7 linked regions of the Xenopus tropicalis genome follow. The protein of the gene in region 6 interacts with the protein of the main gene of each other region in a biochemical or structural test. Links are inferred from orthologs where the notes say so. Each region holds a gene or a part of one and is shown on either strand. Other genes may lie near its edges. The genes, in order: lcp2, axl, itk, faslg, pdgfrb, grb2 and ptpn1.

Region 1 (3,869 bases), on a different chromosome or scaffold from region 6:
CTGCACTCTTTCCAGCTCATTCATATCTTTCTTAAACAAAAGAAGCCCAAAACTTTTCTGCATTCTCAAGATGAGGTTAAACCAGGCATTTATAAAATGGCAGTTGTGTCTGCATCTTGAAGAAGACCACGTTATGATCACTAGTACGTTATGATCACTAGTACATAAATCTGTGTTGTGTTTTCTGACTTGGCTTCCACATTAATCCAGCCAAACTAAAATTGCTATAGTTGCATTCTGACCTACTGTAGTTGTGAAGCTCTTTCCATTTGCAGTAGAGCTGGGCCTCATTCTTCTTCCTTGTACTAGATGGTTGTTTGTTGCATCAGTCAACCAGTCCAATCCTATGTGGGGGGTTGAGGGCAAAGGGCTCAATGTGTTAGAGATGATTTGAGGAAATGAAGAAATGTGCTTATCACCCGTGGTCGTGCTTCTGTGGCCTCTAAAACATGGGGCAAGTCAAATAACTTGTGAGATTTAAGCAATGAGTGCCGGGCTGTAGGATGGGGTGGAAAATTTCTCCCAAATCCTATACATGGATCCCACCTAGGTATGGCCTCAGGGGTTCTAATAGTAAAATAATATGCATGAAGCACACTACTTTCTGTTCTTGAAGTGGATACTCTAAAATATTTTTTATTTTTTCTATTCGCCATTGGGGTAAGTTTTCACAGGGGCAACAGTGACTCTATACATCCTGGCCTTAGACCAACCTTTTTATTTACCATTAGAGGGTTCCTTATCTAGTCAGTAACAACCTCCCACCCTCCAAAAAAGCAAAGATGGGGTATGACCAGTTTGTTTTCTGTTTAAAGAGCATTGAAAAACTTCATAGCTATGCGCATATAAATAAAGCATGTAAATTGCTTTTTTCTCAATTGACTACAGAAGCAGAACACTTTTTTATAGATTTCTGCCTCACACTGCTACAACCCTTTTCCTAATGAAATGTAAGTGCTGTGCATGGTCTGTGAGCCTGATGCGAAAATAAATTGTGCTCCATCTGTGCATTTATCACTGGAAGCTTAGATTCCTGTTAATATTGTCCCTTGATGCTGGAAGCAGGTTTTTCAAATTCATCTCAGAATAAACGGAATAACAGTGTCGTACCATTGCTTAGCGTTTCAGCTTAGTTACAAGGGGGGGTTAAGATAAAAGCTTTTCATACTATTAGGTGTCATTGTCAGTACTTGTTGATATAAGGATATAACAAATGGTTTTTGGATTCTTCTTTAGCATTAAAGGAGACGTAAAGGTACAATCATTTGGGGGGTGCAAAAATGTTAGGCACCCCCCAGTGACAGTAATCGCTTACCTTATACCCCGGGCTGGTGCTCCTGTTAGGAGAGAATTGCACCAGGGCCCCGGGATTCAGAAGAAAGTCGAGGAAGAGGATTGCTCAGTTGCAGCTACCCTGGGCTGGTGCAGTTTTCTGCTAACAGGAGCGCCAAACAGGTAAGCGACTGGGGGGAGTCTAACATTTTGGCACCCCCCAGTGATTGTACCTTTCCTACTCCTTTAATGGCAATGACACACAGCCTACTTGTTGTGGCTACTAAATAGACACCACTGATAATTGTTTCTACTAGTGTTTTAGCAAAGACAATTTGTTATTGAACTGGCTACAAGTAGCTCAGTGTGTGGCATAGCCCTATGTCTTAATAAATGCAATTTATCCTATCTCCTTATTCTTTTAGAATTTATTCCTGAAGACAAAGAATTTTCTGACTCTGACTCATTTGTAAGTAATCATACCCAAGTGATATATTTCAGATAGATAATGCAGTTAGATTAGAGTTTAGAAAAAAAAAATGGAGCACACCTCAGATCAAATATTAAACCCATCTAATCTTAATGGGCAGTGCAACCTTCTGCTTTATGAAGTGCAATGAAGAAGGGGCATCCTCTGTTACACAATCTGTAATCTGTCCTCAGATCTGACTAGCAGGTCTTGGTCATGGCCTAAACCTATAATCTGGTCAATGCATCAAAATAAGTCGTGGTGTAAAAAAAAAAAGTCACAGACAAATAAGGAAAAAGTTGTGTGCATCAAGTGGTGTGGAAGCCATGTTTCCCAAATTTCTTTACCATTACACACATTTTTAAGCAGTTTTGCAAATGTGACAGATTTGCTTATCACTACCATTCACTACTTGCAGTTTTTGAAGTATGTATTGGCAAGGTATAGGGCAATGGTTTCTCAGTATGTGAAAATGTCATTTATATCCAACTGATTACTAATTTTATATCCATATTTAATGTACATATGAACAGGAGGAGGATTATGAAAGTCCCAATGAGTTTGATGATGATGACTATGAACGCCCAGCATCAGAAAATGAAGAGGATGAAAATGAAAATGGAGATTATGAGCCACCTCCTCCCAATATTGAAGATGCTCATCCTCCCATATTTCAATTAAAGCCAAATGTAACTAACTCCCCCTATGCAGGTAAATTAGGTACATTGTGTACCTTTCTAATTACCATAAACCCATAAACTCAATTTACATACAATTAACACTTCTAAAAATTTGGAAAAAAATCTGGAAAAATATGCTTTATTATTTTAAAAAAAAATTAAATATACTCTAAGGGGCAGATTTACTAATCCACAAATTTGAATCACGAATGGGAAAAATTCGGATTGGAAACAAAAATTTCTAAAGATCTCAAATATCCCGAAAATGCTTACGAAAAAATCATATTACTCACGATAATATCGTATTGACGATCCGAAAGTCACAAAATTTTCGTACTGTCCATTGGAAACAGCGGCAGAGCCTTTCCGAATTTTTTATGCGGGCACGCGGAAAAAACAGCGAGAATACGCTCGGAGCGTTCGTATGAATGCTCCAGCGTTCGGGTCTTACTGAATCTCCCCCTAAATGTTTATCGATGGAAAGGTGCTTAATATGCAAGCAAGGCTTCAAGCCAAGCTCCTGTTTTATATGTATGACCATATTATTGTTAGACATTCTGAAGTTTTGAGTTAATAAACATTTCTAATTATTAAATATTTCTTTTGAATATTTAGACAGAGAGTTTGGAAATTCTACCAAAAATCCTCCAGAGCCCCCAAAGAGGCCGGGGAATCCAGGACTTCCACCAAACAGGGGACATACTGTAAGTTGTTTGTTGACCTAAAAAAATGAAAATAATATATGAATATATTTAGATTAAACCCAATAAAAAACTGTCTCTGCAGTGTTGTCTTAATATTTTTAAATGTAAATTTTAATATTTAAATTTTAATGCAGGTAAAGAAGGGACATTATTTATTGTCTGGATGCAAGAAGGTGGAAAATGGACATATTGTAGTCTTACCCCCATATTGGGTTTATTGTCCAGTAGCAGTAACCCATAGCAACCAATAAAATGTTTGTTGTTTGCTTTTAAAGAGGTGACCAGTAAATTCTACCTGCTGATTGGTTGCTATGGGTAGCTCCAGGGCAGACTTAGTGCCTTTTATTACATACCCCCATTAGTATTCAACCCAGCAATGGATTTAGGACCCTGACCAGGCATGTATATTTTCTATTTCTGATTCCATTCTAAGATCTATTGTCCGAAAGAGATGCCTAGAAATTGCTGACTTGGCAAATCAACCTTCAGTGCAATTGTACCAAAGCTGATAAACCAAAAACATAACAAGGTTGAATGATGACCATCAGCTGACCCAAAATGCAACGACAGTATTCCCCATGCTTCCACCAATTCATACAAACTATCAGGGGGCAATCCAGTAATGAAATTAGAATGTTTTAATATCTCTGTGCTTCCCGCAATTAATATTGATATCCAAAGATGGCAAATATTTATCTAACATAAGCAGTTACATACAGAGACATAGTAAAAGGGAAACTTTTT
Region 2 (3,869 bases), on a different chromosome or scaffold from region 6:
CCACCATTACATTAAAAACACAGTATGAAAACTCCCTACCCACTAAAGTTATATAACCACACGAGCCCTTCCCACAACTCTGGCAAGCTAGAACTACTGTATCCTTACAAATGGTGCCCACTGATGCCAATAGTTAGAATCAGTGCTTGTTGGTATAATTTGTGTCACATGACTCGCTGACCTCACAGTTTAATGACCTGTATGAAAGAACTCTGCCTTTGGCCCCATGTCTTTATATTGATATGAAAGTCGCCAGTGACATCTAATATCCTTATATTTTATATAATATGATATGTTTTACATAGTACATGTAGATAGTACTTAAAGGAGAAAGAAAGGTAAAAACTAAGTAAGCTTTATCAGAAAGGTCTATGTAAATACAGCCATAAGCACTTACAGAAACGCTGTACTGACTTCTCTGAAAAAAGATTAGTTGTGTCTGTAATTCCTGTGCCAGAGACATGCAGCTCTCTGCTCTCTCCTGCTCCCCCCTCCCTCAAGAATGCTAAGAACTCCCCCCCCCTTAGGAATGTAGATCTGAGCCAATAAGCAGGAAGCATAGTCTTATTAACTGAGCATGTTCACTTGGTCTGGGTGTCTGTGCAGGAGTGAGGCATTATGGGAACTTTCTTTACACAGCTCAGTGTTTTTTCTTCCTGTTTGGCTTCTGATCTTCTGAACAGGTGAAATATGGGGAGACTTAAGGGCGCTATTGAGACAACTGAAGGTATGCCTGCAGCTTGAGATTAACTCTTCACTAGCCTTTCCTTCTCCTTTATTCTGCTGTAGTTCTATCACTGGATGAGTAGGCAATCCAGTATCATTTTACATTTTTGCACTGCATTGCATTTTTGCATTTTATTATCTTTAATGATTATAATTAAATCCAAAAAACAAATTGTATTTGTGGAATAACAAACTCTTTGTCTGCAAAAACTAAAAATGTAACCATAAGTACTCTCATGTATATACTATCATTGCTCATGTATATACTATCCTTGACTAAATGTACTGTAAGCACATATACAAGGCACCTGCTTGAAACCTGCTTCAGCCTATAGTTCAAAATAATGAAGAGTAAATCCAAGTGCACCGGACAGCAGGAGATTCTCTTAAAACTTTAGTCTTTATTCATCCATTTAAAAACAAGCCACGCCTAACGCGTTTCGTGCACAGATGCACTTAATCATAGGCTGCCTATGATTAAGTGCATCTGTGCACGAAACGCGTTAGGCGTGGCTTGTTTTTAAATGGATGAATAAAGGCTAAAGTTTGAAGAGAATCTCCTGCTGTCCGGTGCACTTGGATTTACCCTTCATTATTTTGGATATTTTGCCTTAGCTACGGGTTCGGGGCCCTAAGCACCCGGGCCACTACGGGACTACGGTGAGCTTCTTTATATCGCTTCTCAGACTTTTCTACTACTTGAGTGATAGACCTGGGGTATGGACACCCGGGTCTCTACTTTATATTTGGTACGGATTTGTACCTTGATCCTTTGAGTCAGATGAATATCTGAACCATAAATAACATTAGCATCAACCTTACTTATTTATTTTAAGCGAGCATAAATTTTGTATTTGGTGTCAGCCTATAGTTTAGTTGCAGCTTTACAAGGAACTGGCTCTTTGGTATTGCTACAGGATGACCCATAAACACTTGACTGCCATTGGTGCCCTTTAGCCTGAGAAGAAATTGACCAACACACTGTTTTAACTCAATCCCCACCTTTTGGTTAATAAAAACATAGATCCCTGAAAGACCTAACCATGGTACCACTAATAGTTGAAAAGTTAGTATTTAGTTCATTAAGGGGTATTTTTATCATGCTGTGTAAAAAGTGGGCTCAGCCAAGCATTGACAGAATATACAGTAAATACCTGCCCTACTAATGTAATACAGTAAGGGGTATACATATCATGCTGAGTAAAATATTACCGGGGATGTTGCTCAAAGCAGCCAATCAAATGCTTTTCTTTGGTTTTCCTACTGTAACAATCTGATTGCTGATTGGTTGCAACGTTTTACACAGCATGATAAATATACCCCTAAGGGTTAAATTAGTCATGCTGTGTAAAAAGTGGAGTGAAGCATTACCAGTGATGTTGCCCAGGGCAACCAATCAGCAATTAGATTTCAACAGTTAGAAAAGCATATGATTGGCTGCTATGAGCAACATCCCGGTAATGTTTTACTCTATTTTTTACACAGCATGATATGTATACCTCTTACTGTATTACATTAGTATGGCAGGTATTTACTGTACATTCTGTCAATGGTTGGCTGAGCCCCTTGGTACAGAATGTGCTTCAGTTTTAAAACTAGTTTCTAGTTTCCTGATTTCTGCCAAGACTGAAAGCTTTCAATATTTCCCACCCCCATCCTTCTTCTATGCCAGATGTCAGTAAAAAATTATTTCCCCCAGAAAAAAGGAAAAAAAGACTTATAACAGCAACTAAAAATAGAGTGGGAATGAATTACAAAAAAAGCCCCTGCTTTATTATCCAAAATAGAACATGGAGAGGAGATGGAACTTGTAGGCTGTATACAGTCAATTCAGTGAGACTGTTTTACCAAGATAAAATGGGGGTTCAAAATGTGTTTGTGATAGAAGTGTAAGCAACCATTTTAGTGATGTCTACATGTGTGTTTAGCCCAACCTGTGCCTTATTAAAATAACAATTCCCTGCTTGTATCTCAGCATGTTAAAGGGAAAATATATCCCTGTTCTGGGGTTATGTAAAAAAAGGCGCAAAAACAATATCTGAATTTCCATAAATAAATATGAATGAATTTTTTTTTTACAGAGACATTCTTAATTCCACAGATTTAAAGGAAACCATAATACTCTGACAAACCATTTTCCAAGCCCCCTTAGGCTCGCCGGGTCATGCAACCACTCCCTCCTCTTGTTCTATTCTAGTATTTGAAGTCCTTCTGCTTTCCAAAATGGGTGGTGCACAGAGGAATAATAATAAATAATAATAATATGCAATGATATCTGTTAAACAAAACACATTTTGAATTCTTTGACATCATCATGGACAGTTGCAGACAGCTTAAACTATACAAGGACATCTAAGCAGAAATGTAGCTGATTATTGACCCACCATTTTTTGATAACCAGAACATTGTCTCTTACCTTTCACTTCTAGAAAAGAAGGCGGCAATGCTAAGGCATCCTTGAGAGAGTTTAGGGGGGCCCCATTCTGCAGCCATATCACATAAACTGGATCAGGGGGACCCTGGGCATAACAGCTGAGGTTGAATGATTGATTAGGGTAAGTATCTAGATCTTGGGGTTCTTCAATAAAAACTGGCAAACCTAGAAAAATTGGGAGAGGCACACGGGATAAGTAATAAACACTAGTGTAAAAGCCATAAACGTAAAGATATGAATGCACAAACCTTCCAGCTCCAAGTAGGCCTCGTCAGATAGAATCTCCTCTCCTTCAATAGTTACTGCACAGCTATATTGCCCTGAGTCTGACAACTGCAGGGAGGGAATGCTGCAAAATAATCAACAGGAAACAAAATCTCTAAATCTGAGTTATTTCAAAATGATAAGAAGGTGCTTTAACTGACACCCTGAATTCTAAAGTCTATTTAGGAGTCGTGTGAGCCAAATGTTTAGATCAAGTTTGCCTCATCTTTAGAGGGTAGTGTTCTATATTGTTTTCTGTCAGGATTGCAACTGATAAGAGAAGCACCATGGTCCTGCATTATATATGCCCTCTCCTCATGTTATACATATAAAGAAAAGATAATTGAATAATTGTTTAAAAAAGACACGTAACTATTTTCTTTATAATAATGTTTAGCAAATATTTAAAAAGCACCAAAACATTCTGTAGTACTGGTCAATAGAA
Region 3 (4,374 bases), on a different chromosome or scaffold from region 6:
TGTTTGTCTGTTTGTTTGTCTATTACCGGCGCATGGAGTAAATAGTAAATCTTCTTATTGTGTCCAAGGAAAGCAAATGTCATCTAAACGAAAGAGGGGCATCATTTAGTGTTTGTCTACCCCACTTGCAGAAGATAATTAGTTAGGGGTTACCAATAGGGAGGTATGCCACTTTATTGCTTACATTTAATAACAATAAAAATAAATGTTTACCAAATGTTACCAAAATTAACAGCTTTATAGAGGTTATATGTGGTTGTGGGGGGCCCAGACCATGGGATCTGCTTCTTCCGTAGGTGCTAGAAATCCCCCTTCCCCAACTGCTCTCTCCTACCTAACGTGGCACGAGCAGGGTACAGGAGCATGCGGGGGCCAGGTAGGGCTTGCTTTGCATGCCGTGCCCCTCCAAAGATTTTTTTTATGGGGAAGGGGTGCCTGAGGCACATTGTAGATACACCACTGGATGCAGGTACTGGCTCGATTGCCCTTTTTGTAGTTAAGAAGAAAATTTCCCCCCCTCTAGGGCAAACAGGAGATGCTAGAAGGCAGAAATTACAAAAAGGTTCACATTGATGGACATGTGTGTTTTTTCCACCACCATTTAATTTGTAACTGTGTTAATGTTATAACTGTAAAATATACACTTCAAGCCAACATGATTACATGATTACTAAAATACAGGTACAAACCACAAAGGGCTGGGTCAGAAAAGACATTTGCCCCAAGCCCACTGCATCAGGAGGGCAACAAAAACAAACTTTTCAGATGGAAACGCAACTGCCTGTATGGCAGGCAGTAAAGACAGGGCTGGCCTGCACTTGCTGCTGATTGGCTTTGCACCTTGCAATTTTTTTTTCTTTTTCTTAAATGACCTCCAGTTACTCTACTATATCATAATAAACAATGTAACATGGTTTATGATAATGAGCAGATATAAGCAACTAATGATGAAACAGCTGTTAGAGAAATACAACTTCCAGCAAGAATGCCCCAGCAAGAAGAATGCTGGAAGTTGTAGTTATAAAACTGAAATAACTTTATCTGGACTATGAATCAGAATAGTGGAATAAAGCCCAAGGAGGTTTGCGTTATGAATGCATATGCCTGCAGTCAGGACATCCAATATTGAGGCAGGTGTTTATTTAGAGGCCTATCATTTTTGTTAACACTGTTAGCACAGTTTTGTACTGAGGTCAAAAGATTAAAATATATTTATGAAGTCCTTTGGTACAGTAAGACAAAACTGCTGAAGCACTAAGCTTAGCGCATGTCAAGGATATAACCAACATTGCTACATGGGTCCTTACTGGTATGATAAAGACAAGAGAAAAACCCAGGGAGTAAGATGGGGCAGAAAGAGAAAGACAAGGATGTAGCTCCAACCCTAATAAGACACACAAGCATTCATATCAATACAACATTCACACAGACCCTTGTTTGTAGGAACACTGTGAACAAAGAAGCCAAAGAATGAAACCACATTCCAACCTAATGCCCTACAAACCCTTGTGCTACATTCGCTCACCCCTTGCCGATGCTCGTAGTAGTTGAGTGAAGAGTGGGTCAGGATGAAGATCCTGGACTTGTAGTTAGCTGGGGACGTCCTTCTCTTCTGCTGGGACTTCTTAATAAGCTGTTGTTGCAGGATAACAGGGTTATTCATCTGGGATACCAGACCCTGTTCCCAGAGTCACCAGAAGACCCCGAGGCAGATCACATAGAAAATATTTGTTTTTTACTTTTTTCAAGAAAAATTAAATGAGACCACCTAGTCCTTTAAGAAAACACTCTAAGAGAGAGGATGAACAATCACATGACTGCATGAGACTGTTAGCTGAAATACTCAAAAAGAAGGCAGAGTAGGGGAAGGGGTGCTGCCATAGAGAGCGGGGGAGTCACTTATCGAGACATCAGTGAGCAGAGCAAGGTGAAAAACTTGTTTTATGACCTCAAGCTTCAACCACATCCTTCTTTTTTCTATTAAGTTGCTTGTGTACAGCAGGGGCTCTCTCCAGCACATTTCACACATTTTTCTACCCACTGCTTTGCTGTATACCTTAATAACAAGTGCATTGCTCACAAAAAAGCACAAGAACTAACTTATAATGGACTAAATATTTCGAAGGCTTTAGTCATACATGTCTTATGTAACTTTACAAAAGTGGTTACATGTCTTATGTATCAATATGGAGGGCCACAAGTACCATATTGGTGAATTATAGTCAGTAAATAGCGCCATAATACTGGGGGGCAGAGAATAATGTTGTGAGCCCTTACCCCCCCCCCAAAAAGAATCAGCAGTGACTCAAGACTTGCACTTTAATTACTATATGCTTCCCTGTAGTTACCTGCACCAAGTAGGGTCATATAGTGAACTTACCATGTGGCCCGGGACTCTCAAGCATTCTGGTTAAGCTGGTTAAGCTTTGGCCGTGCCAAATATTCTCCACTTGAACTCAGCTCTTGCCAAAGCAGATCATCCTCCATAGCAATAATTATGCCCAAATAAGCTTGCATTACCCAGCCCAAGCTCAACCCAAATCAGCAATCCACCTACCACAGCTCTCCATGCTTCCATTTGTTGTCTGCCCAGTGGTGTATCCCTCCAATATCATCTTTATCCATCAGCATGACTTTCTGGCACTATATACCACAGCAGGATATTTGCCCTGTGCCTACCAATAGACTATCTGTCCCTTTAGCATTATAAATGACAGGCCTGGACTGGCAATCTGTGGAGTCTGGCATATGCCACAGGGACTGCTGTAATCTATCATAGACAGTCACTATTTAGAGGGCTGTTTTGGGCCTTTATGTACTTAAAATGCCAGGGCCTATTTTGAATTCCATTCTGGTCCTGATGACTGTGCAACACTATGCCCCTAATAACACAACTACCCAGAGGCTGTCACAAGTGCTTTGAAAATGTGCACTAAAGGTGTGATTTTGTGTCCCTTAGGGCCGTGGCAGATGGGGAGATTAGTCGCCCGTGACAAATCTCCCTAGTTGCGGGCGATTTATCTCCCCCATATGCCATCCCACCGGCTTAAATGTAAATCGCCGGTGAGATGGCATATGCAGTGACGTGATTTCCCGTAATCGCGGAAGTTTCCTCTCAAGGCATATGCCATCCCACCAGCGATTTACATTCAAGCCAGTGGAATGGCATATCAGGGAGATTACTCGCAGGCAACTTATCTCCCCGTCTACCACGGCCCTTAAGGTCCCCATACACTATAAGATCCGCTCGCTTGGCGATGTCGCCAAGCGAGCGGATCTTTACCCGATATCCCCACCTACGGGTGTGCGATATCGGGTAGGAAGTTGCTTTAAAAAAAAATAATCCGATCGTTTGGCCCTGGGGCCAAACGATCGGATTACAGTTGCGGCCATGGGGCAGTCGGTTCGGGGGCCGCATCAACGAGCCGATGCGGTCCCCGATCCGACTGGATTTTCTAACCTGGCCAATCAATATCTGGACAATTTCAGGCCAGATATCGGTTGGCCAGGCCGCTCGTTTCTTCCCATACACGGACCGATTAGCTGCTGAATCGGTCCAAGGGACCCATATCGGCAGCTTCTATCGGCCCGTGTATGGGGGGCTTAAGTGTTCCTACACTTGTAGCAGGGGCATCACTAAATTACCGCTCACAGCTCCCAAGCATACTTGTACACCAGCAGTATATCTGGCCCTTCAGCATCATGGCAATGCCACACTGTAGGGGCCATTTATTTATACCCCTGCTGCAAAAGCAAGAGCATTCCCTTAGTGCTCACTCTCAAAGCACTGACAGGGGCAGACCTCACATGCTGATAACAGGCTCCTCTGTCTCTTCATAGGCTGCTCCCAGTCTTCTCACAGACTGCCCTCCAGTTTCCACAAGTAATTTCAGCAATTTCCCACATGGAACCTCTCATTGTGCCACTGGCCCTAGAAACACAAAATACGCATTATTGTATCTCAATTTTAAAATGAAAGGTCCAGACCATAAACACCATAAAGAGAATAAAGATGAACATTTAAAAAATGTTTTATGTATGTCCAGCACCTACAAATATGTTCTATTTAATATGGGAATTGTTTTGAATTCTATGGGTGGGTAGAAAGCCATGAACCTATACTGTAGCAGACTCATGTTCACTACATCTTTTAAACCAGCTTGTTTTTGCTTTTAAGAGCAACAACCAGTAGTACAAAGACTATAACCAGCCAAACATATACTGCTTATAAAACATTCTTTTTGGGAAGCCACACGGCTCCCCCTGCAGTTGGCACCACGTTAAACGCTTCCAGCGCCTGCGCAGTAACACGCCATTGTTCAATAGTAACAGGTAATGGACGCTCTGGAAAGCGCGCTGACGTAACGTGACGTA
Region 4 (4,346 bases), on a different chromosome or scaffold from region 6:
CTTTAGTAGATCTTTCATAAATATAAACCACTGTGCTAAAACCTACTGTACTTTTTATTTTGGTTTGCTTTATTAGGGCCCTTTGACCTTTATGGGCCATAGTTTGTTATGCTCCCAGGGATACCTGGTGCTACCCTGGGTTGGTGCAGGCTCAGTACCGGGATTTTTCTGACTTTACTGTATTATGCATGTCAACTGTCAACCTAGGGATCCCTGGAAGAATGAAATAAGATGGTAACTGTCATATAAAGGAGTAATTTTAGAGGAGTCCTTTAAGTGCCATGACTATGGACTGAGCATTGTCTTGCTTTGCCTCTGCTTAGCTGAGTAAGTGACCATTTTCATCATATCATATATGCTGTGACTGTAATGTATTTTTTTTTTTCAGACACAACTGGCTTTTAACTGTACTTTTTATTGTCATTCTCTAGAAGGGACAAGTTGTAGCTATGAAGGAAGCCACATAAGGTCCATTTTCATAGCGGATAACTAAAGACTACAGCAGCCCCTCTTGTATACCTTTGGTATAAATAGATTGAGCATTGGGCTATACAAAACCTACTGAGACACCAGCATGACTCAGGGATGCTTTGGCCATCAGGCTAGGTAAACAGCAAGGAACAGCTAATAGCTACCATGGAACACTTGTAACTTTAAGATCCAATGCCTCTTTCAAACAGACTGACAATGCTTCTAACTACTGAAAAGCATTATAATCTCCAGCAGTAGCAAGAGGCAAACCTCCAGTCAGGAATGGCTACCTTCCGTCCAACATATGTACCTACCAGGCCCTCCACAGTGGCAATGGGGAGTTATTTGTGGTTAGGCATTGGGCTAACACTTGACAGCTGGGCTCTGCCCCCTTAGGCAGCAGAATTGCCCAGAATGCACCTGTTATTATTACCAAGTCATATACAGTTATATACATATTAACTTATTGAGTAGCAAAATCACACCCACTTCAGAAAGAGATTTGTCCTGAGAACATGGTGGTTTGTTTTATATTCACTGTAAAATATCACTTTGGTTGCACAGTGGGCTGAGAGTAGACCGGTGCTTGGCATATAGAAACTACTTGCAGAGGTCCTCGGCTTATAGAAACAGTTAACCGTGACCCTTTGTGCAATGTCAACCCCAACATTCCTTTTTAAAACCTTTACTATATTTTTTAAAAATACTATGATTTATTAAAAGCACCCTGATCCCTATGCTTTGCTAGTCCATACACTCTCTGAATGACCAAGTAAGAGAATGCTGTAGCATTTTGAATCACACTCTGTTCCACTTTTGAACTATGAAGAGAGGAAGAAAGGGGGTGGAAGAGGGTGGTGTGAATTAGCAGCTAGAATCTATAAATGTACTTACACATGAAACAACCACAGTTTTTTCCTTCAGCAGCTAAAACTACAGCACAATACAAAGACATCAGCAGCACATTACGTTGATTTCAGATTGACAAATCCCATTATGCAGCAAGATATGAGATACGCACAGCCTTCAGTTTTTTGGACGGATCCATGTAGAACCCCACCATTGCCACCATTGCCACCAAACCAAGTCAATATGCCTCTACCACCCCCATTCCCGGACTTCAGGAGAAAACGACGTAAAGATGGCACTTGTACTTACTTGCTGATCATGTTCCTTCTGATTTTGCTAGCACTTTTTGGTGTTGGTCTTGGCACCTATAAAATCATCGAGTTGCAAAAGGAACTGGACAACGTTAAGGAGGTACATAACATATTAATTTTAGATTTTTTCTTTATTTTAACCTAACCAACCTAAGTAACTTGCCAGTGTTTTATCTGGCAGCATAGAAAAGCTTTATAATGATATTTCTGACCAAGCTAGGGTTGCTCATTGGTGGCCCTTAAACAGTGATCCAATGCAGACAAATTTCTGGTGGTTCCTCTGTATGCACAGAAAGCTGATTGACTCCGCTGTCCCAGTGTCATGGTTATCTGCTGTACTTCATGGCAGGGCTTTCAGTGGAAGGGCATAAATTACTTGAAAAACCTTTGGTTCTCTCCACATCACCATTTAAAAATGATGGTACCCTTAAATTTGTCATAGAAATAATAATGCAGCTTGGTTTTACAATAAGATATTTTTCAATAATATCACTATAATAGTTTAGTGGTCTATAGAATTCCATTAATTCATGAGAATAGGAAAACTGTGATTACTTTTTTTTATATAATTAACAAATCCCTGGGCAAGTACAGGCATGGGACCCATTATCCAGAATGCTTGGGACCTGGGGTTTTCCGGATAAGGGGTCTTTCCGTAATTCGGATCTCCTACCTTAAATTTGCTAACAAAAAAAAAATTAAACTGTAGTTAAACCCACTAGGATTGTTTTGGCTCCAATAAGGATTAATTATATGTTAGTTGGGATCAAGTACAAGGTACTGTTTTATTATTACAGAGAAAAAAAATAATTTTTAAAAATGTGAATTATTTGATTAAAATGGAGTCTATGGGAAATGGCCTTTCCTTAATTCAGAACTTTCTGGATAATGGGTTTCTGGATAAGGGGTCTGATACCTGTACCTATGTACAGAATTTAAAAAACTTTAACTCCACTTCTTCTAAATGGTGCATTGAGGGATTTTAAAAATGTGCTTGTTCTAGAGCTAAAAAATTAGCTGTGTCGTGGATTGGTTTATATGTGGTATATATTAAAGTAACCATGAACTAAGAAAACCAATGCACCACCTTACTCCTGCTACTGTGTTTCTGTCTATCCAATTGCTTTGGAGGTGCACAGGACGAAGACAGGACCAAAGGTGTTTCTTGCTGCAATTAAAAAGCATATTTTTGGAGAGTATCCAATAGGAGGAGCTCCTGCTCCATGAAACTACTTTTTTCCCCAGACACACTGACATTAAAGCAGTTGGAATATCCATCACTGTTTCCTTTGAGCCCAAGCTTCACCCCTTGTCTAGTAATAGAAAAGAAAGCAACTTAGCAGCTGGAAATAAATAGTATAGTAGATAATGATTTCCATAGTTGCAGTTCATATGCAGATTTCATAAAGCTGATAATGATTTTTGGAAATGCAAATAATCTCCACAAACTTTTTCTTTCTAGATTTCTGGTGACCAGGCATTACCTCCTGCTTTGGAAAAATTAATTGGTGAGTTACAATATGTTTCTCTATAAAATAAAAGTGTGGCATATGCTATTTAGCAGAGTTTATATGGGAGTAAGTTCTAGAAGTGTTCTCCTTTAGCTGCTGCATTTGGTGAGCAACACTTGACGGTTACTTTGAGGTTGTGAAGTACTAATTTCTATTTCTTGCCTATGGCCAATGCAGGCAATTCATTTAACCAGTGTTGGAATGCTTGGTGCTACATCTAATAACTGTGAGCCTTCCTGCAACATCAACAACAATTGGCCTTGGTCTACCTAGCATTTCTCTCACTTTGCACTTTGTGCTTAGGTTAGGACCATACTGGAAAATCAATTGAATGTTTGCTCTTTTTACAGGGTTGAACAAACACCCAACTGAGAAAAAAGAAAGTAGACTTGCTGCACATGTAACAGGTAGGTAATCATATGTGTTTTTAATGCATGAAGTATGGATTCTTAACTTACAAACCCTTGGACATAATAACTACACATGGTACCAGCCCAAGACCTCTGAGGGCCTTTCCCAGCTACTTTGCTGGGAACTCTTCAGTTGCATGTTACATCCTAATATGCAGTAGCACTCTTGCCTGTTGAAAAGGTTCTTCTGAAGTGGGAATAGAGGGGTAGGGGAATATGGTACTGGGTTCTTACAGGCTCAGGTACAACACTGTTGCAACATTGTCTACAGTCGCAGGTAGACTGGGCTTAATCTACAACTGTTTAACGGTGTTATTCAACATAAGCTCAAGAAATAAGGCTTGGCCAATTTTACCTTATAAATATATACTTTCTTGGTTCTGTCCAGTAAGGAGTAGGAAGTAAAGGAGTAGGTAGTAAAATAGATTACCAGTCCTCAGTAGAGGAGTAGGTAGTAAAACAGATTACCAGTCTATCTTTGCATAGAAAGATTATACAAACAAAGGCTGCAGATTAGTTATAGCTTCTGCCACACATGGCGGATTCTTGGCCTTCAGATAAACAAGGTTTATAATATTAAAAATAAGGAACATGGATTTTTAAAAAAAAAATAAATTTAAAACTAAACAGAAGTCCTATATATTATACTGATTCCGAGGGAGGATGTATATAGGTGTGTACTGCCCCATTACCATATATATTATTATTATTTTAAAAATACCTTTTCAGGTAAAGAAGGTAAAGAAGGTAAAGAAGGACCCACTTTGCCATTAGCATGGGAAGAAACATTTGGA
Region 5 (3,869 bases), on a different chromosome or scaffold from region 6:
ATGGCTGGTCCCTAATGAACTGCAGGTCTATCGAGGCTATCCATCACTAACTCATTCTTTCAGTTGATCAATGGATGCTGTGAGTTTCAATCCTGCGGATGCCTACCCTGTTCTGTTGACATTGCTACTGAATGGAGGTACTGTATATTAACTTCCATCCATAATGGCAGGAGGAATGAAGTTTACTCACGGTGTGGTGCTAGTGTGGCATCTCTGTAACTTATCCCAAGGAGGTTTTTGCCTGAGCAGCGGACTGTGATGGAATCTTCCAGACCTTTGAAGTGAAGGACACTTTTTACCGTGTGAGGACCGGGACCCTCCAGCACTATGTAACTGATGTTGGTGTGGAACTCTAGGTCTGATGTTTTGTTATCAAGAAGTTTCCATGACTCCAGGTCCTTACTGTTACACCTATTATATAGATATTTAAAATATAACAACCTTCAGTATCCTACAATGGGGAAAAAGGGCCACAAATAGTGAATAGTGCATGTGTTATCAAATCAAAACTCAGGGGCATATCAAAGTGGGTTGGGAACTGAGACCTCTAATGACATTAATTATAAAGACAGATGCAAGCAAATAGCATTATTGGCAACTAGTTACCTTTTGAGTTCAGTGCAGATGTGCCATGTCATTTCTGGGGCTGGTATTCCTTTAGCTATACATGTGACTATTTGGCTGCCACTCGCGGGGTGGGTATCCACCAGCTCTGTTATTTCAGGGGGCACTGCACAAGGAAAAGGTAATAGCATATCAGTGTTATTCCTTTCATATAGGGTCCTATTTCATTTCATATATGGCAGTGCTGTCCAACTGGTCGCATGCGGCCCCCTCTGTGTGGCCCCCCACCTGTCTGGCTGCTTTGATGGCTTAAATTTGTGTAATCTTTAAATGGTCAGTACTGGCCCCCTGCATGGTTAACACCTCAGATTCAGGCTGTAATCCCTCTGTATTGTTTAAAAAATGTAATCCCCTGTGTTGTTTACACTTTTTAATCCACACATTGTTCAACCACTGCATTGTTCACACCTCAGACCCAGCCTATAATCACACACATTGTTCAGATGTTCACACCTCAGACTGAAGGAGCAAGAGAAACCTACAAATAAACCCTGCACACTACAAAAAGAACATATACTGAGGTGGTACTGCAATTAAAAAGTTTTTTTTATATAAAGTTATTGTGCAGACTGTAGGCGCAGTGCCAGCACACAGCCAGCATAGGGCAGGCAGAGTATGGCACACACAGGCAGCATAGGGCAGGCAGAGTATGGCACACACAGGCAGGGTAGGGCAGGCAGAGTATGGCACACACAGGCAGCATAGGGCAGGCAGAGTATGGTACACACAGGCAGGGTAGGGCAGGCAGAGTATGGCACACACAGGCAGCATAGGGCAGGCAGAGTATGGCACACACAGGCAGGGTAGGGAAGGCAGAGTATGGCAGGTTTTTGCTGTACTACCACAATTAATATCGGTATGGTCATGTGATAACATGGGTGTGGTTTCAAGTGTGGTTTAAAAAAGGGGAGTGGTCAAAACTGGCTTCCATTATCGACCCTCCACCATGTAGGCCCTCGGTGCCACAGAAGTTGGACAGCACTGATATATGGTTTGCCCTATCTGTGCAGCAAGCTTTCTTGTACTGCCATTGAAAAATGGGATAAACTAAAAGAAAATGTGAGGCAGTCACTGTTTAACATAAACCCAATAAGGTGGAAGGCTTTCTGTGCCAGCTCTGCCTAATGATCAGGCACAAACTGCAACTGCTATTTACCAGAAATTATTTTTTACTCCCCCATGAGAGATTTCATCTACTGGGAAAGAGCTGTAAGTAATTTATCTGATTCAAACTAAAATATCTTGAGAAATATGGGAACATTGCCAAACCCTGAGTCATAGCTCAGTCTAAATGGCTCTATTTGAGATGTCTCACCATTTATCTGGAGGTAGAAAGACTTCTCTTGAGTTGTATCTTCATTAAAAACCCTGATTGTGTAGAGGCCTGCGTCCTGTTCTTTCACTCGCACAAGGGATAAGTGACTTGTGTACCTTGAGATCAAGAAAGAGATTGGTCCTGTGCTGGGCTGAAGTCAATATTAGAAGGGGGGGGAACATATAACCAAAAGAGCAAATAGTTTTCTTGGAACAGAATGGTTGATCAGAACATCTCCAAAAACAAGTATTTCTATTTATTTGTTTCTGGTAACTACTTTTTAAACAGAAGCCTATACCCCCTTAACATTCCTACCTTCACCATATGCCAGTAAGGGACTCACAAACAATTACATTTGGGTGTATATTTTATTATATGATCCTAAGGGCAGCCAAACCCAAAATGTCTTTTAGTCTCATTACATACGGAGTACTGTTTTTACCCTATGTTTTACCAATACTTAAGAACTGCAGTGCTCCTCAACTTACAGTGAAATATGCCCTGTATGCCGCCATGCCTGCAGTTTGTCTTCCTTCAGATATCAGAGGATATTTTCTTAACTGCACGTTGTCAAGCACAGGCTATAAAAGCCATTGACTTGGCCCCTCCAGACCCAGTTTGCAGCTTATTGAAGCCCTGATGCTCTGACCAACCAATATCTGGCTAAATCCTTCTATTGGGCAACATCTGCATGTGTGTACGTGTCAAAATAATCCAAATTCTAGTCAATATCTGTGTGAGCTTATTGGTAAATCCATTTAGTTAATGATCCTATAACATACTTGTATAAAGCCACTGGCCAAATGGAATGATGAGCCACCAGCCTTATCAACCAGATTTGATCAATAAGGGCATTTTGTGGCCACTTTGACTACTTGTGTGTAGCCAGACTGGCCAATGCTCTGCCCATTTGGCCATCAGGTCACAATGGCAAAACAAACTGTATCTATTCAGCTTTGGTAAATAGAAAATAATAATACCATAACTGCTGGAACAAGTAAAGGTTACACCTAAATGTTTGTTTCTTAAAGCACTCACCTGTTTTTAGATGTAGCTTTGTCCACAATAGTGATTTGGTTGGTTTTATTGCCTGTTAGGGTAATGTTGTCTTTTAGCCAGACAATGGTGGGTGGTGGGTAGGACTCAATGTTGATTCTAAATAATTTGCTTTTATGCTGGATAGTATAGGATATGCTGCTTTCATTCGTAATTATATTTACAAATCCTTGTTCTATAAAAAGAGAATTAACATTTTAGGCAAGATATACAACTCCCATATAACTATATATACATATATAAATACAGGTATGCAGTCTATTGGGCAAAATGTCTGCCTCTGTGCAAACAAATTAGCCTTTGTGCGAATTTAATATGGGCTTTGTGAACGCCAAAGTTGTTTAGCGACCACTTCCGAAGATGGAAGAAAGTTTGCAAATGTTATTGTTTGCGACAGTACGCAGTGTATGTCATAAAATTTCTTTTAAAGCGCCATTAAAATTTGCAATGCAAGAATAGTCTAATTAACAACATTATATTGTGAAATGTGAATTTTTGCTTTTATCTGTGTGCATTTTTTTTCTGTTTACGACTTTTATTACATTCCTCCATGGGTGGAAAAAGGGTCAAAATGTCTGAAGGGTGTTCAAGTTATATTCTCCTTTTTGCTCCTCCTTTGGTGCATGAGCATCACACACCGGTGTAGGGGAGCCCTGTACCCAGGCAGAGGGAAAATATGTGTGTGTGGGGACTGGGTGAGCCTAGTCAGGTGACCAGTTCACAGATCATAAATATGTAGGGCTTGTGGAGGAGTGGGCATTATAGGGACCGCTGATTGCGGCAGGGGCTGATCTGAGACATGGCCAGGCATGCAACTTAGTTAAGCCTTTTTTCATAGAATACCATTCTATTTGGTTGGCAGGGTCCAGCCCCG
Region 6 (4,551 bases):
ATCTTACAGCAGCCCCTCTGGCATTTGCCTGAACCCACAGATTGCCAGTCTGGGCCTGGGTCCTGGCATTCCAAGTACCCAGAGACCAAAACAGCCCCCCCCCCCAGCCCAATAAATAGTGACTGTCTATGCCATCTTACAGCAGCCCCCCTGTGTTTTAGTTTTAAACCAGTTATTTGACTCTTTTAGTGTAATGCCACACCAGTTCAGGCACAGTAAAGGATAAGATAGGGTGCATTGGGTCTGTGCAGGAGTGCTAGTAACGCCCCTTAGTGCTCTACCATGTTATTTTGAAGCAATGGAAGGTGCACTGCAAGATGATACATTCCTATTGTGAAGGGGGGGGGGGGGGGGAAGATGAACTGAGTGATAATGACATGGTGACACCCAAGTGGCAGGAGGGTTAGTAGCTCCCGTTAGTGCTGTATCTCAACCTGTGGGTCGGGACCCCTTCGGGGGTCAAACAACCCTTTTACAGGGGTCGCATAAGACCATTGAAAAACACATATTTCTGATGTTCTTAGGAATAATTTTATGGTTGGGGGGTCACCACAACATGAGGAACTGTATTAAAGGGTCGCTGTATTTTTTTTTTCCAGTAAGACAACTATCAGTTGCTCCTCAATGTAGTATGTGTTATTTTACATCTACACCCCCTGCTGTGAGGGGGTCTTAACTGACCAATGGCGCAAATGCCCTCACCATAGGCGTTGGAACTGGGGGAGAGAATTACCCTCACCCCCCCTGGTTTTGGAAGTTGTGGCTAAACAGAGGCAGAGGGGTGGGCGGCACAAGTGGGGCCTCTCCTGGCCCCCAACCAAAAACATCTTCTGCTGCCCCTGCCATACCCATAAACTAGGGTTGCCACCTCTGCCAGCTGAGAAAGTGGGTGGGGGGAGAGGCGGGGTCATGACAATTGCCCGATCACTGAATCAATGCAGGAGGGTTTGACTTTCCCAAAACCAGGTTGTCTGGATCAAAACCGGACAGGTGGCAACCCTACCTTAAACTGGCCCTGGAATGTGGGAAGATATAGATGGGTTTCACACAGGACACCATTAAACACACAGGGAGAAGTCACCATGATAGGGTTCTGTGTAGGCTTGCCACCTTTTCTGGAGAAAAATACCATAATTCCTGTGTACAGCCAAGGGGAGAGTTACAGGTTTATTAGTGATGTGTACAGCCAAGGGGAGAGTTACAGGTTTATTAGTGATGTGTACAGCCAAGGGGAGAGTTACAGGTTTATTAGTGATGTGTACAGCCAAGGGGAGAGTTACAGGTTTATTAGTGATGTGTACAGCCAAGGGGAGAGTTACAGGTTTATTAGTGATGTGTACAGCCAAGGGGAGAGTTACAGGTTTATTAGTGATGTGTACAGCCAAGAGGAGAGTTGTGAATATTTGGTGACCATTTGGACACATGACTATAGATAACCAAATAACCGCAGTCATTGTCCCAAGCTCAAGCCGTATTGACAAAACATGGGCTGCCCCGCCCCTCAAGTGCGTTGCGTTTCACGTCTCATATGACGTCATGCGCCGTTCGCAGGGACTCACGCAGCCCCGGAAGTATCGCGGGAGGATCTGCCCCGGGGCGGAGCGGAAGCGGCCAGGGAGAGAGACAGGAGAAGCGGCTCCGCGGAATTCGGTGAGGGTTCTGAAAAGCTCTATCGAGAGGTGGGGAGATGAGTGTCAGCCGTGTCGTAGAAGTCGATGTAGCGGTGGGTGGGTGTCCGGCTGTTGTTGAGTTGAAAGTCCCATGGGCTGCCAGGGAGGAGGGGGGATAGTGGGAGCTGTAGTACAACAGCAGCAGCAGCAGGAGTGGCGCCCGTTGAAGGGGTGCGCAGAGCGATAGCGATGTTGTTGGGAAGGAGAGTGGGTGAGGGAGTTGGGGAGGCTGATGAGGGGCTGCCGGGTGTGGGGTCGGGAGCAGCCAGTTGCTGTGGGTATGGGTCGGGAGCAGCCAGTGGCTGTGGGTAGGGGTCGGGAGCAGCCAGTGGCTGTGGGTAGGGGTCGGGAGCAGCCAGTGGCTGTGGGTAGGGGTCGGGAGCAGCCAGTGGCTGTGGGTAGGGGTCGGGAGCAGCCAGTTGCTGTGGGTAGGGGTCGGGAGCAGCCAGTGGCTGTGGGTAGGGGTCGGGAGCAGCCAGTGGCTGTGGGTAGGGGTCGGGAGCAGCCAGTGGCTGTGGGTAGGGGTCGGGAGCAGCCAGTGGCTGTGGGTAGGGGTCGGGAGCAGCCAGTGGCTGTGGGTAAGGGAACTGCTGGGGGGAGAGAGGCAGAAAGGGGAAGTGGGGGGAATTGGGGAGACTGAGGGAAGTGCTGAGATGGGCTGAATGCAAGGGGAACTGATGGGGGGGAGATCTATATCAGGATTCCTCAGAAGGGAAGTGGGTAGGGAAATCACACAGCTTGGGGCCCTCCTACTTGTACATTCATTTATAGGGCCACAAGCCTTAGGAGGGGACCTGTGTAATGGGAGAAATGATAGTTTGCCGGGACTGACATCTCACTCTCTGGTGCTGCGGGCTACACTGGTTTCTGTGCAGCCATGATATATGCAGTCACAGTCATTAGCATGTGGATAGGGCCAGGTGGGGTCAGATGGGCCCACACAGTATGATTGGCTTTTAGCATCCCTACCAGACTCCTCATTGGCTTAATTAACCTTTGCTGAGTGATAGCTGACTGTGAGCATTGTGTCTTGGGAACAGTGTGTGACAGCTGTGACAAAGGAAAAGAGACTGCTGATGGGATACCATAGTGGGGGTAACACAGCGAGAGAGAGCAGATGTGCTGGGGGGGTGAAACCAGGGGCAGAACAGGGACAGTTGAGTAGCTGAATAGACTGGAAATTGAGATTAATGAGGGTGAAGCAAGGGGAGAAGTGAACTGTCAGAGGAGGATGATGATGGGTAAAATAGGGCAAATATTATACTGGCTTCCAGACAAGGGGCAGGGGGGGACACAGACTTGGCAACTAAGGGCAAGGTGGGAAAGGAAGAATAGAGTCTGTTCTGGGGGGACAAATTGCCCTCATTTAGATGTTATAATTCACCCCCAGTAGAAGTGAATGGGAATTGCCACTGGGTGTAAGACCTATACTCTGAGTAGGATATACAGACCTGCTGGGCTATAGGAGCAGAAGGGGGATTGGAGGATATATACCAAACCTGGGGGGGGGGGGGGATATAGACTGTATGTGAGGGCTGAGGGGACGCCTGCTGTTGCAAGTGGGAGAAAGAAAATCTGGGCTAGAGGCGCAGCTGCATGTATATTTATAGTGTATGTATATATTTATCTTGTGTTAATTACTTACTGTAGGAAATCAAATCTGGGGCAGTGTGGTGAGATTGGGGTATAATTCACATGCTGGTTTCTAGGGATGCACCGAATCTGGCGAACCCCCAAATCCTATATAAAGCATTTGACCGATTCCTAATTAGCATTGCACACAACGCGTGGCAAAAAATGTTTAACTTCCGTGTTTGCATGACAAAAAGTCTGGTGATTTTTCGGATTCCGTTCAGCCAGGACTGTGGATTCGGCTGAATCTTGGCCAAATACTGGATTCGGCGCATCCCTGCTGGTTTCTGACAGATGCCTGCAACATGCGGCATTTATTATTTATATTTATTATCTGTTTACTGGCTTAATTATGTACCCGGAACATCTTTTTCCCTCTGCTTTATTTAGCAGGATGGGGGCTGCCATTGAACTTAGTTCGTGCGAGCCTTTTCCCCCCATAGGTTTCGGTGGCAACATCGCCACCTGGTGGCCATTATTTGTTTCCTTCTTCATACTAGTTCTTCCTTGATGAATTTGTACTTTGTTCACTTCGTTATATTGTAACACAGCTATAGTCTTGGTTATTTGCATTTCCTCTTATGAGTATGTGGTTAACCCATTGTTATCTTTTATGCTGTCTTGCACTCCCATACACGCCACAATCAGGGTTATAAATTTCTTGGAATAACACTATTCACCTGTTATGGACTCTAGAGGTGCAGGCTTGATTGCATTTGGAATATATAGGCCTGATCACTGCATGCTCAGCGATCAAATACATGGCTCGGAACCTATCATATTGGGTTGGAATCTGCTGATAAAGGGTAGCTAATCGGCTTTGGGCCCCATAACATCTAGTTGTGCTGTTGAAACGGGCCCTTTAAAACACTTTATTTGTGGATTAGATGTATGTGAGAATATATTGAATGTGCAGTGTGGCTTATTTATATAAAGCACTTAACCCCACACGGTCAGGCAGCAGCATCCAGCTAAAGTGCTTGTGTAAACCAGGCAATTACGCAGTTACTTTCCCTTTCATGTGGATGTACATGTTTTGTTTTGGCTACCCGGGCCTGTGCTGAGGGGTGGGGATTGGTAGCTACTCGCAGCCTGGAGAGCAAGCAAAGCTGATTGCTTCACTACCTGGCCATGGCTTGTTATGTATCTGATTATGATGAACTTTTAAAGGAGAGCTAAAGCCTAAATAGGAGTGCATATTAAAGAAATTAAAGTACCAGCCCAGAGGTGCAGCAGTAACAGTAATGAT
Region 7 (3,869 bases), about 8.6 Mb from region 6:
GCACGGCGGGCGGGAGATGCTGATTGCGGAAATGACGTTATGCCATCATAACAGTTATTATGGGAAGACGTTCTGTGTGCACAATTAGCTGCTAAGGAGCTAATTGTGCACACAGAACGTCTTCCCATAATAACTGTTATGATGGCATAACGTCATTTCCGCTATTAGCAGCTCCCGCCGTGCCTTGCATTATCCCTTGAAAGCCAATTTTTTTGTGAAATCCCTTATGCGGCCCAGCCTCATCCTGACTTTGCCTCCTGCGGCCCCCAGGTAAATTGAGTTTGAGCCCCCTGCCGTACAGGCTATGAGCAAACTTAGGGGGCTGTTCCTGCTGAATTGTGCTTAGTACAGGGGAATCCCTATGTTGCCATAGTTTTATGGTACCTCTCCGTACAGGCTATAAACAAACTTAGGGGCTGTTCCTGCTGAATTGTGCTTAGTACAAGGGAATACCTATGCTGCCATAGTTTTATGGTACCTCTCCGTACAGGCTATGAGCAAACCTAGGGGGCTGTTCCTGCTGAATTGTGCTTAGTACAGGGGAATACCTATGCTGCCATAGTTTTATGTTATCTCTCTGTACAGACTATGAGCAAACTTAGGGGGCTGTTCCTGCTGAATTGTGCTTAGTACAGGGGAATCCCTATGCTGCCATAGTTTTATGGTACTTCTCCGTACAGGCTATGAGCAAACTTAGGGGGCTGTTCCTGCTGAATTGTGCTTAGTACAGGGGAATACCTATGCTGGCATAATTTTATGGCATTTCTCAGTGCAGCCTATAAACAAACTTAGGGGGCTGTTCCTGCTCCAAGAGGAGTGAAGGCAGGAATAACTGAGCATGCCCATTCCTTTGCCCACGTATTTACATATCTTTATACAAGTTGGCTAAAGTGATATTGCCAGTCAGTGCACTTAATGCTATTCAGACAAGTGAGGAAGAGGCAAGGTTTACACTGCCCTGGCAATTGCTGAACAACTCATTCTTTATTAATATATATTTTTTTAAATTTGGAGAATAATCTACCCAAAAGGGGAACTTCCCTGGTTCAGTCATACAATTACAGTTCTCTTTTCCGACTTTGCTCTAGTCTCACACTCATGCACCTCTATGGCAATGGTGACTGTGTAGGGGTGTTAGAGGTCAACAATGGAAGCTTACCAAAGCCTGAAACTGCCAGCAGCTAGTAACCCCTTCCCAGGCACTGGGAAAACAAAGACATACATATATACATTCATATTTACATTAAATATTATAGACATATTCATTCTCTTTATCTGCCCAAAAATGGTGCAGGGCTGGAGTGCTTCAAGATTTTACATTTTTTATATTCTCTGTGTCTTAAAGGGGGTGGTTCACCTTTAAGTTAACTTTTAGTATGTTATAGGATGGCCTAATCCTAGCGGTTTTGGTCTTCATGATTTATTTCTTCATAGCTTCTGAATTATTTGCCTCTTTCTGTTTTTGAAATGGGGGTCACTGACCCTTGCAGCCAAATCACTATTGCTCTGTGGGGCTACAATTTTATTGTTACTTTTTATTCCTTATCTTTCTATTCAGTCCCTCTTCTATCTATATTCCAGTCTCTCATGCAAACCACTGCCTGGTTGCAACAGTAAACAAGGCCCTAGCAACCGGATAGCTGCTGAAAGTATTTTGAAAATAGGTAATTGTTAACACTAATAGCTAGTTTCCCTTTAAATTTTCAAATGAATTCAACAATTACCTGAGCTTGGGTTTTGTACAGTCCCAGTAAAACAAGTGGGTCACCGACCCCTTCTCCACTACTTCTCCGCTACCTTTGCTTTATAACATATTTGGGTTCCGTAGTGGATTTTCCTTGTCCTTTTATTAGCAATTCCTTTTCATAAGATGAATGAAATAGTAAGGACTTTATTTAGACAAGTGGTTAGAGCGAGAGAATTAATTACTCTGACGTAGGCTGTTAAGCTGATACATTTGTATTTGTGTGTTTAAATCAGTAAATACGATTAACTCAAGCCGCTTGTACTTCTGACTCGGTGCCTGTGGCTCATTGGGCCTCTCCAAGTAATTTCACCCGGTTCTGTTTCTGTCCCAGTTGACCACAGTCGAATAAAACTGCACCGAGAGGACAATGACTACATTAACGCCAGTCTTATCAAGATGGAAGAGGCACAAAGGAGCTACATTCTTACCCAGGTGAATATACGCATGTAGATGTTGCAGCAGAAGGGGAGAAGGATTAAACCGTAACATTTGAGTTCAGTGAAACAATAGTTTTCAATGTTTGGCAGCTGCATCCCCTGGTGGGTAAACCCCCCCCCCGCCCCCATTCACTTTTGTAGCAATTGCATTTAAGCACAAGTGCACTGACATGGCAGGCAGCTCATTTGGCATTTTTTTCTGAAAGGTAGGTGGGGAAGTTGCCACTTTTGCTCCTTATTCAGTGTCGTGTAGATATGTGCATAGTGCCCAGAGATAGGTTGTAGCTAGTACCCCCTAGCTAAAATATATATTTTAGTTTAAATGTTACTTTTGATTGTTTTATTTGTATTCCATGATATAGTAGTACTCAGCCTGCAAGCTGGAATTCTTATATGGCCCGAAGTGGTTTCTCATATTCTTATAAGTAACCTTAGGGGGTACATTATTCCTTATAATACATGATACTCAGAGTTCCCTGTATAACTCAGCCTGCAGCCTTGTGCCTTTATATGGGCACAGAACCCCTCAGTGACTTCTAATATCCTTATCATTTACAGTAGGGGGTACATTATCCCTTATAATACATGAGTGATACTCAGAGTTCCCTGTATAACTCAGCCTGCAGCCTTGTGCCTTTATATGGTCACAGAACCCCTCAGTGACTTCTAATATCCTTGTAATTTACAGTAGGGGGTACATTAGCCCTTATAATACATGAGTGATACTCAGAGTTCCCTGTATAACTCAGCCTGCAGCCTTGTGCCTTTATATGGTCACAGAACCCCTCAGTGACTTCTAATATCCTTGTAATTTACAGTAGGGGGTACATTAGCCCTTATAATACATGAGTGATACTCAGAGTTCCCTGTATAACTCAGCCTGCAGCCTTGTGCCTTTATATGGTCACAGAACCCCTCAGTGACTTCTAATATCCTTATCATTTACAGTAGGGGGTTCAACCCACACAGCACAGTAAACTTGATCTCAGCCACTTACTGGAATAAGAGAAAGGAATGGGGAGTTTTTGTTCTAAATAAGTATTATATTTGTGTTATTTTTGTGTGTTCCTTCTTCTATACAGGGGCCTTTGCCAAATACCTGTGGTCATTTCTGGGAGATGATTTGGGAACAGAAGAGCATAGGAGTGGTTATGCTCAACAGAGTGATTGAAAAGGGATCAGTAAGTATTTTCAACTTGTACCTTTTGTGTTTGCTCTGAGCCCAGACTTGTTTAATCTGTGCCACAATGTAGCTGCCTACCCCGTGCCAAAATGAAATATGCGCTGAGCCAATGCGCTTGGGTGAAGGTACAGTTGGCTTCATGCTGCACGGGATTAGATGTGGTTTTCCTGAAGCTCTTTATGCGGAAGTGCAATTTGCTTTCACTGTTTGACAAAAATGTCCTGTAAATCCAGTAAATATTCCCCCTTATAGAATGCACAGAAATACTTGAGTCAAATAAACCTGTAATACCCATTATCAATTAACCTGTAAGCCCGAGGCCATAAATGCTAATGTCATTAGCAGCATTTGGAATTGGCTCCCTCTATGGCTTCCAGACACCCTGGAATAGGCCAGGTTGCCCACGGCCATACAGAAACAGGACTCAAAGCAAAAGAAAAAAACGCAAGAGTCAGTGCAAGTAAAACAGCTGCCTTAAATAAATATGCCCCAAAAGAAGGTT

What was found.
Region 1: the proteins of grb2 (region 6) and lcp2 form a complex in vitro, tested with the Homo sapiens proteins (4 studies listed by BioGRID and IntAct, with this or other methods). The link is inferred for Xenopus tropicalis from reciprocal best matches to the Homo sapiens genes GRB2 and LCP2.
Region 2: the proteins of grb2 (region 6) and axl form a complex in vitro, tested with the Homo sapiens proteins (2 studies listed by BioGRID, with this or other methods). The link is inferred for Xenopus tropicalis from reciprocal best matches to the Homo sapiens genes GRB2 and AXL.
Region 3: the proteins of grb2 (region 6) and itk form a complex in vitro, tested with the Homo sapiens proteins (2 studies listed by BioGRID). The link is inferred for Xenopus tropicalis from reciprocal best matches to the Homo sapiens genes GRB2 and ITK.
Region 4: the proteins of grb2 (region 6) and faslg form a complex in vitro, tested with the Homo sapiens proteins (2 studies listed by BioGRID). The link is inferred for Xenopus tropicalis from reciprocal best matches to the Homo sapiens genes GRB2 and FASLG.
Region 5: the proteins of grb2 (region 6) and pdgfrb form a complex in vitro, tested with the Homo sapiens proteins (2 studies listed by BioGRID). The link is inferred for Xenopus tropicalis from reciprocal best matches to the Homo sapiens genes GRB2 and PDGFRB.
Region 7: the proteins of grb2 (region 6) and ptpn1 form a complex in vitro, tested with the Homo sapiens proteins (2 studies listed by BioGRID). The link is inferred for Xenopus tropicalis from reciprocal best matches to the Homo sapiens genes GRB2 and PTPN1.

The regions. Positions count from the first base shown.
Region 1 is NC_030679.2:32,338,438-32,342,306, forward strand, and holds part of lcp2 (lymphocyte cytosolic protein 2), read left to right. Parts: intron 1-1,697; coding exon 1,698-1,741; intron 1,742-2,274; coding exon 2,275-2,452; intron 2,453-3,036; coding exon 3,037-3,125; intron 3,126-3,869. UniProt on the Homo sapiens protein: Adapter protein primarily involved in signaling pathways within T-cells, as well as other immune cells such as platelets, mast cells, and natural killer (NK) cells.
Region 2 is NC_030684.2:79,144,179-79,148,047, reverse strand, and holds part of axl (tyrosine-protein kinase receptor UFO precursor), read right to left. Parts: intron 3,510-3,869; coding exon 3,409-3,509; intron 3,326-3,408; coding exon 3,143-3,325; intron 1-3,142. UniProt on the Homo sapiens protein: Receptor tyrosine kinase that transduces signals from the extracellular matrix into the cytoplasm by binding growth factor GAS6 and which is thus regulating many physiological processes including cell survival, cell proliferation, migration and differentiation.
Region 3 is NC_030679.2:14,179,131-14,183,504, forward strand, and holds the start of itk (tyrosine-protein kinase ITK/TSK), read right to left. Parts: upstream 3,080-4,374; 5' UTR 1,664-3,079; coding exon 1,526-1,663; intron 1-1,525. UniProt on the Homo sapiens protein: Tyrosine kinase that plays an essential role in regulation of the adaptive immune response. Regulates the development, function and differentiation of conventional T-cells and nonconventional NKT-cells.
Region 4 is NC_030680.2:107,205,928-107,210,273, reverse strand, and holds the start of faslg (tumor necrosis factor ligand superfamily member 6), read left to right. Parts: upstream 1-1,403; 5' UTR 1,404-1,467; coding exon 1,468-1,731; intron 1,732-3,093; coding exon 3,094-3,139; intron 3,140-3,492; coding exon 3,493-3,549; intron 3,550-4,281; coding exon 4,282-4,346. UniProt on the Homo sapiens protein: Cytokine that binds to TNFRSF6/FAS, a receptor that transduces the apoptotic signal into cells. Involved in cytotoxic T-cell-mediated apoptosis, natural killer cell-mediated apoptosis and in T-cell development.
Region 5 is NC_030679.2:21,233,519-21,237,387, reverse strand, and holds part of pdgfrb (platelet-derived growth factor receptor beta), read right to left. Parts: intron 3,171-3,869; coding exon 2,978-3,170; intron 2,056-2,977; coding exon 1,940-2,055; intron 731-1,939; coding exon 607-730; intron 412-606; coding exon 191-411; intron 1-190. UniProt on the Homo sapiens protein: Tyrosine-protein kinase that acts as a cell-surface receptor for homodimeric PDGFB and PDGFD and for heterodimers formed by PDGFA and PDGFB, and plays an essential role in the regulation of embryonic development, cell proliferation, survival, differentiation, chemotaxis and migration.
Region 6 is NC_030686.2:44,468,065-44,472,615, reverse strand, and holds the start of grb2 (growth factor receptor-bound protein 2), read left to right. Parts: upstream 1-1,659; 5' UTR 1,660-1,679; intron 1,680-1,704; exon of another isoform or gene 1,705-1,727; intron 1,728-4,551. UniProt on the Homo sapiens protein: Non-enzymatic adapter protein that plays a pivotal role in precisely regulated signaling cascades from cell surface receptors to cellular responses, including signaling transduction and gene expression.
Region 7 is NC_030686.2:35,883,276-35,887,144, reverse strand, and holds part of ptpn1 (tyrosine-protein phosphatase non-receptor type 1), read left to right. Parts: intron 1-2,078; coding exon 2,079-2,179; intron 2,180-3,266; coding exon 3,267-3,365; intron 3,366-3,869. UniProt on the Homo sapiens protein: Tyrosine-protein phosphatase which acts as a regulator of endoplasmic reticulum unfolded protein response. Mediates dephosphorylation of EIF2AK3/PERK; inactivating the protein kinase activity of EIF2AK3/PERK.